Saccharomyces cerevisiae S288C: one gene and its partners. The gene in region 1 interacts genetically with each later gene. Each region holds a gene or a part of one and is shown in the gene's direction. Other genes may lie near its edges.

What was found.
Region 2: mutations in PHB1 (region 1) and ATP23 together harm fitness more than expected from each alone (negative genetic interaction), as found in Saccharomyces cerevisiae (4 studies listed by BioGRID, with this or other methods).
Region 3: mutations in PHB1 (region 1) and AIM25 together harm fitness less than expected from each alone (positive genetic interaction), as found in Saccharomyces cerevisiae (3 studies listed by BioGRID, with this or other methods).
Region 4: mutations in PHB1 (region 1) and ATP10 together harm fitness more than expected from each alone (negative genetic interaction), as found in Saccharomyces cerevisiae (4 studies listed by BioGRID, with this or other methods).

The regions. Positions count from the first base shown.
Region 1 is NC_001139.9:754,728-758,369, reverse strand, and holds PHB1 (prohibitin subunit PHB1), read left to right. Parts: upstream 1-1,917; coding exon 1,918-2,781; downstream 2,782-3,642. Other genes in the region: CCR4-NOT core subunit CAF130, read right to left, coding at 1-600; PEX4 (E2 ubiquitin-protein ligase peroxin 4), read right to left, coding at 923-1,474; FHN1 (Fhn1p), read right to left, coding at 3,120-3,642. UniProt on the Saccharomyces cerevisiae protein: Prohibitin probably acts as a holdase/unfoldase for the stabilization of newly synthesized mitochondrial proteins. Involved in mitophagy; may act as an adapter for ATG8 that supports mitophagosome assembly.
Region 2 is NC_001146.8:666,528-670,365, reverse strand, and holds ATP23 (putative metalloprotease), read left to right. Parts: upstream 1-2,143; coding exon 2,144-2,956; downstream 2,957-3,838. Other genes in the region: mitochondrial 54S ribosomal protein bL9m MRPL50, read left to right, coding at 173-592; YNR021W (uncharacterized protein), read right to left, coding at 775-1,989; ARE2 (sterol acyltransferase), read right to left, coding at 3,099-3,838. UniProt on the Saccharomyces cerevisiae protein: Has a dual role in the assembly of mitochondrial ATPase. Acts as a protease that removes the N-terminal 10 residues of mitochondrial ATPase CF(0) subunit 6 (ATP6) at the intermembrane space side.
Region 3 is NC_001142.9:615,851-619,313, reverse strand, and holds AIM25 (Aim25p), read left to right. Parts: upstream 1-1,979; coding exon 1,980-2,963; downstream 2,964-3,463. Other genes in the region: ESCRT-II subunit protein VPS25, read left to right, coding at 1-157; mitochondrial 37S ribosomal protein mS42 RSM26, read right to left, coding at 280-1,080; ubiquitin-specific protease YUH1, read right to left, coding at 3,028-3,463.
Region 4 is NC_001144.5:905,129-908,794, forward strand, and holds ATP10 (Atp10p), read left to right. Parts: upstream 1-1,950; coding exon 1,951-2,790; downstream 2,791-3,666. Other genes in the region: ART10 (Art10p), read right to left, coding at 1-1,177; SUMO ligase CST9, read left to right, coding at 2,822-3,666. UniProt on the Saccharomyces cerevisiae protein: Essential for the assembly of the mitochondrial F1-F0 complex.

The DNA.
Region 1 (3,642 bases):
ATCAAATGTGGAGCTGCAGCTTATCAAACTCTCTATACGGCCAGTTATCGAATACAAATAGTCCTTTAACAAATTATACGTTTCATTGAGTAATATGGACGGAATAGTAATTTTTGAAACAATTAAAAAGCTCAACGGGAGTTTGTATTCTGGAAGATTGTACCGATTAATTTGAAGAGGGGCCGTTTTATTTGCTAATAAAAACCTTAAGAATTTCAGGAGTAATATATCATTATCTTTCCAACTCAGTACTATGGAAGCATAGCTAGAACTGTTATTTTCAAAGGACTGGGCCCAGGATTTTCTTTCCTTCAAAGAAGAAGTCTGAATTAATCGTAAAGCTGACTTCCCTGAAATTGTTGTGAACAACGTAATTATGAGAGCCTCAAGCAATAGGTTAGAGCATATTTTCTGATCATTAAACATGGTTTCATTATATAAGATCTTCTCCAAATTTTCCACCGATGGAACATAATTTTTATCTTTCAGTAACTCTTGTAAGGGAATAAAGTCCTTAAAATGAACCGAATCACCTGAAGAATCTTCACTGGCTAAATTTTGCCTTTCAGCATAATTAGTAGCTGCTTTCTTTTTCGTCATCACTTTCTTACGTAAGTATGTGGAGTTAAGAGAGAAAAAGTGTTTGAAAAAAGCTCCTCAACGATCTACTGGGCTGCCAAAATAAAATTCAGCGTCAATGGAAAAGCTAACTAATGTAGATATTGCGTGCACTACTTGTCAAAAATTCGTGCTCCTTATTAATATATGTATATGTATATACAAATGTGTCAATACATCAATAGTGCAATTTGTTAAAGTATTTGTATTCATAAATTGGCGCTGCCCGGGTAAGGTAGAAATTGCATCAGATAAAAGTGAGGGCCCATTGTTTGCCATTCGAACACATCCATCCTACGTGGTATCAATGGTTGTTGATCCGCTCTCTTTCTGCTAGGAAGTACTTTACAATCCCCTGATAGGCACTCATATCGCCACAGCGGATGATATTACCAATGTCTACGTCAAGTGGAGAATCACAAACGGGTTCCCTTAGGAGTCTCCAAACAGCATGAACACAGTGTAACAAATCCCATACAGGAGTCCACTCCTCTGGTTTAAGGATGTTCAGACATATTTCTCCTGTGGCTGATTTAACATTGCAGTGCAAAATATTGTTCTGCATAAAACTTATCTTTGGTGGATTCATGGGGTAGGAACTAGGGACTTCTATTAGTATTCGAAACTGATGATTTTCATAAGGTGTGTCTGACGGCCCAGAAATTATAGCTTCCCACTTGCTCAAGTCGGTTTCGTCAATCGGGTTAAGTGACTCGATTATCCCCCGGTAGGGGTTCGCTATGGGGTCATCACTGGCCAATGTTTTCAGTATGACTTTGTACTCCTTCACGATCCTCGACATACATGTATCAGACGTATAGCTCCTACGATTCTCAAGAATCCAGAAGTTTGGCATATTATGTATAAAGGCGATGATTATGTATATTTTATGTTGTCTCCAGTAAGTGGCAGCATAACCCGGCCAGTCTGCGCTGCATGCTGTGAAGCAGTAATATGCGATATATACCACATATATTCCGCTTCCGTTCAGGATTTCGAAAAGAGAAACTTCAGTGAATGACTATGACTACATAGTTGGAGTCTTAGACCATTGCAAATGAGTTATTCAAGTATGAGAGATCAACACTGATGAGAATAAACTCGTCTTCATGATGATACGGGTAACGCGAATGTATCGCATCAATAAATTTCAGGGAAAGGGAGTTTGACGATCTCATGGATGCAACGGTTGAGGTATATAATATTAAGCAGAAAGAAGAGGAAAAAAAATAAATCGGTAAACCAACCATCAACGGTACGAAACTTACATTCAAAATCAATAATTTACTTTAGAAAAGAATGTCTAATTCTGCCAAACTTATCGATGTCATCACCAAGGTGGCGTTGCCCATTGGTATAATTGCTAGCGGGATTCAGTACTCCATGTATGATGTGAAGGGTGGTTCTCGTGGTGTTATTTTCGACAGAATCAATGGTGTAAAGCAACAGGTTGTGGGTGAAGGCACTCATTTCTTGGTGCCTTGGCTACAGAAGGCGATCATATACGATGTGAGGACGAAACCAAAGAGCATTGCTACCAATACTGGTACGAAGGATTTGCAAATGGTGTCATTGACCTTGAGAGTCTTACATAGACCAGAGGTCTTACAGCTACCCGCAATATACCAAAATTTGGGTCTCGATTACGACGAAAGAGTGTTACCATCTATCGGCAATGAGGTTTTAAAGTCTATAGTAGCTCAATTTGATGCTGCTGAGTTAATTACTCAGAGAGAAATTATTTCTCAAAAAATCAGAAAAGAGCTTTCTACGAGGGCCAACGAATTCGGTATTAAGTTGGAAGATGTCTCTATCACTCATATGACGTTTGGTCCCGAATTCACGAAAGCAGTTGAGCAGAAGCAGATTGCACAGCAAGATGCCGAAAGAGCCAAATTCCTTGTCGAAAAGGCAGAGCAAGAGAGACAAGCTTCTGTTATCAGAGCTGAAGGTGAAGCAGAAAGTGCTGAATTCATTTCAAAAGCCTTAGCTAAAGTTGGTGATGGTCTGTTATTGATTAGAAGATTAGAAGCTTCTAAGGACATCGCTCAAACATTAGCAAACTCATCTAACGTTGTCTATTTACCAAGTCAACATTCTGGTGGTGGTAACAGCGAGTCTTCGGGATCACCAAATTCCTTGCTTTTGAACATTGGCCGTTAAGTCTGGAAAAGCTATGAACACAATAAACTAGGGGAGAAAATTTTTTTTTAATCATATTAGAAACCTGTATATATGGGGGATAACAACGCCAATAACATATTCCATCTTTCCATTTAGTTACCAACACGAATACGTATGCTATCAATATCGTAACTTAGTTTTTTATCATTTATATATATACATGGATGAGCCTACGAAAAAACTAAAGCACATTCATGTATCACCATAATATTATTTTAGAAAGAACTTTTTTTGTTAAATTTATTTAATGCAAAGGTTATATAAAGAACGATCAACGAAAATTGTACGCGAATTGCCTTTTTTTCAGTCCAGTAGGCTTAAACCTGGGAAATTGTAGGTATGCCCATTTGTCTTCTTGCCCTCCTTCTGCTGAATCCGGTATTAGAGCCAAATCCACCATTTTGCATCATACCCATCGTGGCCACAGTCACTTTGATGAGGAATAGAAAACAGGAAAAGTAAAAAAACGCAACAGCAGCCTGAGATTGATGACATCTGGAGCTTGAGCCTTGTATGATCTTATTCTGTTCCAGATATGTTTTGTTTTTACACGAATGGCATCTTATACCTACAGCCAAAGCGGTGGCTGCTACAAACGTAAATATGAAATTTAAAAAATCCAAAACAAGCAAAATTGCTGGGTATGTTAATGATGTCCAGAAATTAGCCAAAAACCCATATAATGAATCCGTAACCAGACCATAAACGGCGGCAAACATACAAAAGTTCACTCGAGAACTATGCTTTGTCTGTGTACCTATCAGGCCGCTGATTAGACCTATGGATATAATAAGAAAAACAGCATTTATGATGCGCACTAAATTATCTGCAGCTGATAGC
Region 2 (3,838 bases), on another chromosome or scaffold:
TTTTGGTTTAATACATCCACGTTATTTTGTATTTTTTTTGTTTATTATTGCAAGTTTTTAGTTCATTTGTTCTTTCCGATGAAAAAGCAAACTCAAAGGGCAGTTAAGTTACGTTATACCGTAAGGAATATAAAAGGCTAACTAAATAACGAACGAAACAGGTCGACCAAAGATGCTACATTGCACCCAGGTGTGTCTGAGCGCTCTGACAAAGAGAACCCACAGGGTCAAGGTTCAAGTCCTGAAGGATTTCCCGCGATTTCAATTATATAAAGGACAAGTTGCAAATGTCAAACCATCTTTAATGAGAAACTATTTACATAACTTCAATGGTGCAAAATACATACTCAGCGAAGAACACGACATAAATACGGAACTGTTAAAACAATACCAAACACTTGAGGCAAAGCTAGAGGAAGACCATCAACAGCTCTCTAAACGCCATGAAACGGAAGTTCAAAAGAACATGGAGTTACGTAAAGAATCTGTTTTTGGCCACAAGAAAGAAGAGAAGCCAAAAGAGGAAAAGAAGGGATTATTGGATTCTGGGATTACTATCGAAGAGGTTAAGATCCCCGGTCTTGACATTTGATTGGTAAAGAGTATGTATTCAGATAGCGTACAATCTTGTATATAGGCAACATCGCAATTCAAAACACCACATACCAATTTACATACTTACTATTTAAATGTATGGATACATGGAAAACGTTCGTATACAAAAACTGAAGAGGTTCAGAAAATTATAAGGAGGAAAGAAGAACAAAGTGGTTCTTACTGAAATCTTGTTCTTTGCTTGTTTTTGAGACGTCTTTCTCTTTTCTCTTTCATTTTTTGATCTACCTTTTCTTGTTGACCAGAGGCCTTCAATTGACGTCTTTTGGCTTTTTCCAATTCTAATTTCTTCTCCTTTGCCAATTCCAATTCAGTTTCTTTCATAAACTTTTTGATCTTGTTCAGTTCTTGCTGACGCAAGTTGGTAGTTCTTTTCAAGATGTCGTTGGTAATGAATAAGTTTGGAGACTGTTGGACTAAATCTTGAGTGAACCCATCGTAGATTTCTACGACTAAGGAAATAATTTGGTTTAACAACTTCAATTCATTCTCATTTTGGGGAACAGCGCAACGAATGATAGCCTTTGGTTCAATTGAAGATTCCCATTCTTTATCATCGCGTGGCGGGTTGACAGGCAAATCGGTGAAACTTATATATTTCAAAAGATTACCAGCTTGGGACAAAACCTCATAGGGCTTGGAGTAATGAAACATGAACCCTGATAATTGATTAACATCGGACATGTAGACGAAGTTATTTGGTAGTTTATCGTTTTCACTAGTGTGTGCAATAGACAGGAAATAGTTTTCAGTTCTAGCTTGATTCATGAATTCTTTGTTAACAATAGAAGTGACAAATCTAAATTTGGTCAAAATTTCATGCGCATTCTTGTTAGGATGAGCAGATTCACTAGTAACTAAAATACCATTTGGCCTGATCACGATCTCCATAAATTCTTCCAATTGCTTACTTTTCAAACTTGCAAAAAAAAATCCAAGCAGGTACTCTAGACACATAGAGAAAGGGTTGCTACGGGCTACCAGATGAAGGTTTAGGTTGATGCTCTTGATGGCGGATCTACCGGTAGCAAAAGAAGAGAACCATGTATTTTGGTGTTCCACTGTAAAGATTTTGGAATCATTGATATTGAACCCTACACGGGAGAACTTTAAGTCGTTGGCCAAAAATGAATGCAAAGATTGGAAAATCTGATTTCCGCGCTTCAAATTAACGGAGTTACCAAATTTGTAGAAAGCATAAACCAAGAACAACACACCTAGAGCACACAATTCAAAAGTCCAGTTGTAGAATTTGACTCTTTGCCAAATAGTCATGGCCTTTTGTTCGTCATATGATAATGCTTGGTAGGGCGCATTGAGTGAATTGACACGCTCCAAAAAACCCGTAAGTGGGCCAAATATTGAACTAGACATGTTAATGAAATGGAAAAGGGTTCTGCTAATCTAATTTTTATGCCTACAACAATATCGTACCTATTTGAGCAATAATACCTATAATATCAAACTTTTTTTTTTCAAGTAGTTCTCACTTTTTCACTTTTTGGCGCGTTTTCGCCAATTATCATTTATGACGATGCGAACAAATAAGAAAAATAAGAGTTCTAATATCAAAATGATCAGAAGAGTAAGGCATAATTTGTACAACCAAAACCAAGGAAAGCTGATAGTACCGAATTTTTTTTTTTTTTGGCACGATATGAATAGCAGTGGGGATAATGCTGGGTTTGAGTGGTGGAGACGGACCATGCAGTACAAGACTGGTATAGGCTTGACACCGGAGGAGAAAACTCGATACGAAGACGACTCTAAAGCTCGAGAACTAAAAAAGGAATGTCTGAAATGTTATGAGTATCGAGATTGGATGCTTAAATACTCTCCCACAGTTCGCTTTATGGTACAAGCTATTACGAAACTTAATAAGGGTAGCGACAGTAAATTCGACGATTCGAAGATCATCTGCGATTACTGTCCCGACTGGAAGGGCGGTGGCTTTCATCCTGAATTGGGAATCCTATTGTGCCAGAACAGGTTACGTGATAAGTGGCATTTAGAGGATACGCTTTCGCATGAATTAATTCATTATTTCGATGATCTAAAATGGCAAATAGATTGGTTAAATCTGAAGCATCATGCATGTTCTGAAATCAGAGCCTCTTCGTTAAGTGGGGAATGCAGGTTTTGGGAAGAGTTCAAGAGAAGAGGGTTTAGGACAGGATTCCATGTGGCAAGGGGACACCAAGATTGTGTTAGAAGGAGGGCAATAATTAGTGTTTCGGGGAACCCCAACTGCCAAAGCAAAGAACATGCAGCAAAAATTGTAGATGAAGTTTGGGACAGTTGCTTCGCCGATACGAGACCGTTTGATGAGATTTACAGATGAACCAATGTAATAAATGACAATATTCTATAATAGAAAATATATAGACGCTTGTAAATAATAAAAAAAAAAAAAAAAAAAAAAAAAAGTAAAAAAAAATTTACTATAAAGATTTAATAGCTCCACAGAACAGTTGCAGGATGCCTTAGAATGTCAAGTACAACGTACACATGACACTTGGTCCCATGCAGATACCGAGCCAGAAAATAACATTTCCGATTATGGTTCTGTTCCTCATGAATTTAGTATTTGTTAAAGCTACTAATGGCATTTGCAGCATTTGGAAGAAGAACAAGTAAAACCTCAATTTCTTGAAGATAACGTACATTGCTAATTCATGAACGACGGAACTTAAGAAAAAGGTCATCAAAGTTGCTTGACTCTTGTTCAATTTGAATGAACTCATTGAACTATGGTAAACATGTCTTAACAAAAACTTATGCACTGGGATGTTCCAAATTCTACTGAAGTCTGCCCAACTAACACAATTCCACCAGTCACCGTAGAAATATCTGTCGCCAAATCTTGTCAATTCAGCCACACAGTTCAAAATGGCATCCCAAATCAAATAGAAGTCCAAGATGTACATCACGATAAACCCTGGGACGATATCAACGAGCAATCCAACCCATTTCAATAATCTATCCAATATACCAGTCCATTCAGAATTGCGCACAGCCAATGCTCTCATTGCTACAGGATACATCAAGATTTGAGCATCTATCATCATTAAGAAAATGGTACCGAAGATGGCGCAGATCTTTTCTAATACGTAGCTCCATCTGATTTCCTTAGTTCTTGGATATTCAATTTGGTAAATTAGGGTTGGAAACATGGTGAACCAAAAAAAGCTTTTTGCACTGATATTGTTGGGGAATTTTTGAG
Region 3 (3,463 bases), on another chromosome or scaffold:
ATACGAATTGAGTGAAGGTGATGAAACAGTCAATTGGGAGTTCCATAGAATGCCCGAAAGCTTGCTCTATTATTGTTTGAAGCCCCTATGCGATAGAAATAGGGCCACAATGCTGAAAGATGAAAATGATAAAGTAATTGCCATTAAGGTTGTTTAAAACACGAGCGAGAGGATAAAATAAAACTATTTACAGTATATAAGATTTTGGTAGATCCCCTTCTACCCGATACCTTTATAATTACATATGAGGGTAAGAGGCTATCGCTTCCTTTCTTTTCATTACTTCGATATACCAGAGAATATCCTATTATTTACCACTGACCAATTCAAGTTATCTAGAACATTCTTCACGTATTTGGACCGGTTACCAACGCCATAATCATGTAAATAAGCATGATCCCACAGATTGACACAGATTATAGGCATGGTCCAGTCTTGAACCTTACCATTCAACTTAGTAGACTTTCCTATCAGTTCTTTCATTTGTTTCAAGGTAGCAAATTCATCGATGGATATCGCACTGTTTAAATCAAATGACTGGTTCCTGGGAAAATAATACGGCGTACCATTATTATTGCTCGTTAATATGAAGAGTTTTTTCTCATTGTTTTCAACTAGAAATAACCAGCCTTGTCCCAAGACTTCATTCTCAGCACGGTAAATCATTTCCTCCTTCACTACTTCCCAATCGCTGCCGTTGAATGAATCTTTGATTTTGGATAAAAAAAGCCTAGAAGGCTCTGTCTTCACAACGGCGTTCGAGTTAGTGCCATGTTCAACAGCAGAAGGTAGAATGTTCTCCACGAATAAATGGTTATTATGGATAGAGGACGCCAAATTGAAGATGTTTGACTGTAATGGATTTCCTGCAGTTTTCAGCAATATGTGAAATGGATAATATGATTCCAAAGACTGTCCCGCTGTCGCCAGCGTTAGCTTATCACATAGATATCGCTGGTAGTCGAACCACACCGTCTTGAATCCCGAAGAACTGAGTATATTAGGCACTCCATTTTGCAGTAGGGCCTTAGAATTTGGTAGTTTAGGTACTACGTGAATACCCCTTTTGAAAACAAGCATTTCTCTGCGTCTTAGTTGCGCCAAGAAGACGATATTATGTGGTCTTCAGAAATTTGCCTGCAAAATATCCTCTTATTGTGAAAAGACTTTTGCTATACCCTTCTTACTTTTCCATGCTTTGCGATACTTCTTGCTCAGTCCAAAAAAGTACTGCGGCACCTCTCCTAAGATTCTTGGAAAGATGGGAAGTGAAAAAAAAAAATACAAAAAATAATGAGAGCTAAGGGATTCGAACCCTTGCATCCGAAGATATCAGAGATTTTAGAGGTTAAATCCACCTAAATCTGACGCCTTAAACCACTCGGCCAAACTCCCATTGTTTGTTGAATGGACTTCATAAACAATCGCATATCATTGATTGGTTACTTTTTAAGAAGGGATTGATGCCAAAGTCAGATGGTAACCATTGGATCAAGTGATAACACGTTTAAATGAAACAGTACCCATTTCTATAGACCAGATACCACGGAAGGATTACTGTAGAGGTGAGATATGAGATAGAGGGAATTGCCATTCGGTTAATAGCATATATAGGTTTTTATATGGAAGATTTGTGGGGCAATTGATTACCTTGTCAAAAATATATATAATATCTTGGAGCTGTAAAGGAAAGGCAATGTACAAAATCGACCAAGAGCTTTACTAAGTCTGGACAGTCGTTTGTCTGCCGATGTGGAAAAATAGCTTTCAATATAGTTATAGGAAGAATTTTCATAACAAGTGCGCGGTCTTGTTCCCCTTAACAGGTTCCGAACCTAGTATGGGAGAGGTTTCATTGACTTCGTTATATACTTCATTCAAGTTTGTAAGCCTACCGGCAATAAGGATTTGAAAAGTACGAAATGAAAAAAGACAAAACAAAAGAAGATTAAAGGTCAAACATAAAGGATAACACCGACATGCATAGAACGGCAATATTTCTAACTTACCGATCATGTATGAGAAATTTCAGTACACTGAGTAAAACATTAACGGTTTCTTCTGGTAAAGTAATCAGAAACGGTCCATTTAGGAGAGTAATTCGTGAAAAGAACCAAATAACGAAGGCGCCATCAGTAAAAGCATTTAAAGAAAATAGCAATAGCGGGATAATAAAAGTACATGATCCTATAGCTACTACGATACTTAATGAACCGACAGTTATTATCGAAAGGCAAATAGAATTTATGAACGTTTTTCTAGGTTTCGAGCAGGCTAATAGGTATGCCATAATGGATGTGAACGGAAACAAAATAGCATCAATGATGGAAAGAGATTTTTCTATAACAAAGGCCATAATGCGGCAGTTTTATCGTCTACATCGTCCTTTTTTGGTAGATGTCTTTGATAATTGGGGAAATGTAATAATGACGATTAAAAGGCCCTTTTCGTTCATCAATTCTCATATAAAGACTATCATACCTCCTTCCGCGTATGTTGATAATGGCAGTGACTCCACTCACTATCACGACGGTAAAGAAGGAACGACAGTAGGAGAGACCATTCAGAACTGGCATCTCTGGAGGCGTCGTTACGAATTATTCCAGAAAGATGGAGTAGAAGGATCCACTTTTGACCAATTTGGTAAGATAGATGCACCTTTCTTATCATTTGATTTTCCTGTAACAGATGCTGATGGTAAGATAATGGCGAGTGTAGACAGAAATTGGGTTGGTTTAGGAAGAGAAATGTTTACCGATACTGGTGTTTATGTTGTTAGATTTGATTCGCAGAGATGCTTTGATAATATTTATCCTACTGAGATGCTAAGTTCTCAAGTACTAACTTTGGATCAAAGGGCCGTGTTATTAGCAAACGCTGTGTCCATCGATTTCGATTATTTTTCGAGACATTCCAGACAAACTGGAGGTTTCCTTTCTTTTGGCGGTGGCTATGATGAGTAGGTGAATTATATATTTAAAAGAATTCTGTAAATACATATTTGACTACGCAGTAATAAAACAATTATTATTCCCAATTAGGGCCCAATCCTAGCATAGCAAAGTTTAATACATCTTCTTCATTTGCATTTTCCATATATGAGGCGACTCTCACTCTAACTAATTCCTGTTCAATCAAATCGGTGGCAGTTGGGTCACTCTTTCCCAAATAGAGGGGTCCGCTCAAATTCCTTCCATCCAGTTCAAATATCCCTCCGTTCTCTTCCACATATGTGATATAGTGTAGATTAGTATCTGCAGTTGCTTCTGGTGCTTCTGACTGGCCAGTAGAAAATGTTTGTACATTCTCTTTTATTACATTCAAGACGAATTGGTCGGTAGTAACATCATCAAACCTATTCTTCGAGCTTGAAGTATCACTTTGAGATTTTAAAAAATTGTCCAAGTCGGAGCCGGGCTCCAACAATGACTGGTTATTGCTCAAAGAATGAAGAATTGCATAC
Region 4 (3,666 bases), on another chromosome or scaffold:
AAGAAGAGTAATTGCCGTTCGCTATTCCCTGAGATAAATATGTTGTAGTCTCTAGCAAGTTCAGTTGTAGTTTAAGTGGGGTAATTTGCATTTTGCTCAAACTTGCTATATTCCCCTCCATGACTACATAGACCTTGTCAAAATTTTGGCTGCCAGACCTAAACAAGTAGTCTTTCCTGTATATTTGCTTCAAATCTCGACTTCTAACCTCTATTCTCATATTGCTTTCCCCATCAGGCAACCCCATTTTATAAGTAGATGGGAAAACTTTCATACCATTTACTAGGCGAGTAGATTGTCTTGTTGATGTGACTGATGATACCGGTCTCGATCTAATGTCGCCGTTTTCTATCAATATAGAATTAGCTTGAGAAAAGTTCCTGTCACTTTTTATATATCCGACTCCATTAACGACTTTGACGTCCTTTGATGGCACCTTTAAATTTGAACTATTGAAAAATTCATTGTTGGTGACCATACTATTTCCTCTACTATTGTTACTGAAGGCATTAAGTTCTTCATTGTCATCTTCATCAGGTTCTATAATAAGATCTTTTGGCTCAGGTATAAATTCGAACGTCTCGATTTCCCTTATCAGTTTATGGAATGGCTTAAACCAAGATGAAGATTTCCCTAGCTCTAATTGAACTTGCACCATATATATAACTTTTCCAAAAGAGTAAAAATACAAATCCAGATTATCGATTTTATTAAATTCTTGCCAATGACTATTGAACGTAGGTGGGAGTCGGGCATTACTTCTTGTCACAAACGCTACTGTCTTTGCCGTATGATTTTTCAGACATTCAGGCTTTCTGGGAAACTTGTCAAATTGAAAGCTATAATTATATGAACCTGGTTTAACTTTGAACGGCTTGGAGGAGCCATCAAGAGCATTCCATACATTATCTGGAGGGAAAACTCTCTGTTCGAATTTCATTAATGTATGAAAGGATTTGTTGTCTTGGCCCGGCATCATCATGCCATTCTGTTGAAACATGTACTCTTGATCAATTTTTGTTAAGGTCTCTGAGAATCCTTTTAGAATGACGGAAATTTTCCTTATAGATAGCGCTTTTGTTAACTGAAGACTAACTATCCCTGACATTTGATCATTAGAGCTATAAAACTCCCCGTTGTACGGTGGGTTTAAGGATATTGAAATTTTTGGAGCCATGGTTTGACAAACTGTATGGTTCTCAACCTTCTCTAATCAAAAGCAGAATCTTAAATATAAACACTCACAGAATATCCGTTGGTCAATGAAGTAATTCTCCTTTGTACTGGCTGCTTTTTCTCCTCTAGTTTATGTAATTCTACTTTTGGATGGGTGCGACTGCTTTTAATTGATTGAGTGGCGGTGTTAGAAGGGCTGTAGAGTCGAAGGCTTGTTTCTCTCTTACGCACCTCTTGTGAAAAGGGCGTGCACCTTCCCCAGGACCCTCTCTCACCCTCAACCCGCATTTTGCTGAGAATTTTCACCAAGGCCCTAGGTGATATTAGATTCCACCTGACTAATTGCATTACAGCCGACCCAAGGCAATATCAGTTTAATAAAATATCATGTATCTCACCCTCTTCTTGGTATTAGTAAAGAGACGCCTGATCTTGTAACAGTGGTGAAGATTGTACTAGAGCAGAATCAAGAATTTAAAAAGTGTAAAGGCAAGGCAGAGGCGATGTACATAAAACTTCGAAGTAAGAAATATTTAATAGTTCTCGCCACATCACTATGCAGCTATATAAAAACTACTATAAACGTTTGTTTTGTTCCTTACGCACAATATCCTTGCCTAGAAATCGTTTTTGAAATTTAAATTTTTATTACCATTTATTTGATTCGCCTTCAGAAAAATATGGAAGAGTGCATATTTAAAAAGGACTATTTCAGCATATAGTAAAAGTCAGGTTATTTGTTTATTTGCGATATCAGAGTAACTTAAACTAACTATGCAGGGCACTTTTAAAAGGTTTTACCATCCCACGCTTACGCGGATGTCCTTCTTGGATAAATTCCTCAAGCCTATGATGGCAACGGCTTCCCCAAAGGAATACCAGATCAAACAACTGGTCAAGCCAATAGGCTTAACACAAGCACCAAGGAAAAGCACCAAATACTCCCAGGGGAACTCTTTGAGGGATATGTTTGATTCGGAAAAGACAAACCACAGAGTTAAAGAGTTGGCCGTTGAATTCAGCAAATCTGGACTTTATGACGTGCAAGTCTTCCAAAAGACAAAGGGGAAATTGTTTATAGCTCCAGTTTCATATTGGAAAGAAGATAAAGCTTTGTTTTTTCCTCATTTGATAGGAACGGCAATGGATGGTACGAAACAACAGAATATCGAGGATATGTTAAGGGGTAAAACCAGTATAGTGAGGTTATTTAGTACAGCATCTGGCGATAAGTTGAGTAGTTCATACTTCCAAGGAATCGTAGACGATAACAAAAAAACTGACTACTTGACTGAAGCTGATGCGCGTTTAAGTTTAAATGACAGTAACGTCCAAATCATCGAGGTCAATCTTGTAGAAAACGCTGTGAAAAGTGCTCTAGTGAAAACGCTTGCTCGTTGGGCCAATCGCGTTCCATCCTGGCGCCAGCCATTTTATTTCGAATGTTCTAGAGGCCAATGGCCATTTTCCGTCAGGGAAGAGCTCTTTTGCAATAATGTCTTTTCTGGATACGTCTTTCTTGTGGACCAGCAGTTAAAAATTAGGTGGGCAGCTTGCGGGGAGGCTACTCCATCTGAAAAGGAAGCATTGTGGAAGTTTGCCAAACGTCTGTGAAGTTGACGCTTTGTGCGGCGGCCAACAAGGGATGGGCGGCTATTTGGCGATCGTGTTCATTCCCCAAACTAACACGAAGAGCATGAGAGAGAAAAAACAAAAGTGCTTGAAACAGGTAAGACGTTTATCATTGATATCACCAAAGAAATATATAATGCCGGATTCTATTTTTGAACAGCCCTTTGTTTACTGTGGTGTTTGCCACAGAAGAACATCGCATGGAGATCCATTGAGGCTGACCTCATGTGCTCATATCCTCTGTTCGCAGCATTCTCCATTAACATCAAAGGTGTGTCCTATATGCCGTTCGAGCGATATCTCCATCATTAACCTTGTGGAATCTAAACAGCTGCCTACCGACATTAGGATTTTTTTTGAGCCACTGCCCCCACTTTTGGAGTCGTTATATAATGTTTCCCAATTCCAACTGAATGGGCTTTCGAAACAGTGTCAATACTATCAAAATCATTGTTTAAAGTTGAGAGAAAAATGTGCAAGACAACAGCAGCTGCTATATCAGGCCAAAATAGAGTTGGATTCTATGGCGATTCTTAAGAAAAGAATACAGGAATTAGAGTCAGTTTTGAATCATAACAATGTTTCTTCGATGTCAGTTGGTGTGCTACCAACAAGAAATAGCCATCAAAATCATTACCAGCCCCCTCCAACCGTTGATCTGACAGTTGATGATAATAGTTTAGAAGAATTCGAAGCCAAATCCTTTATTAAAAAGTTGAAAAAAAACTCTTCTTTGAGAAATTCTTCAAAAAATAACAATGGAACTGTCACTCCCTCTACAAGTGGTCGTGTAAATAAAAACCAGCCTCTCTTTATGGAGACATTGAATAATCCTAATAGAAATAGCATTCCTCCTCC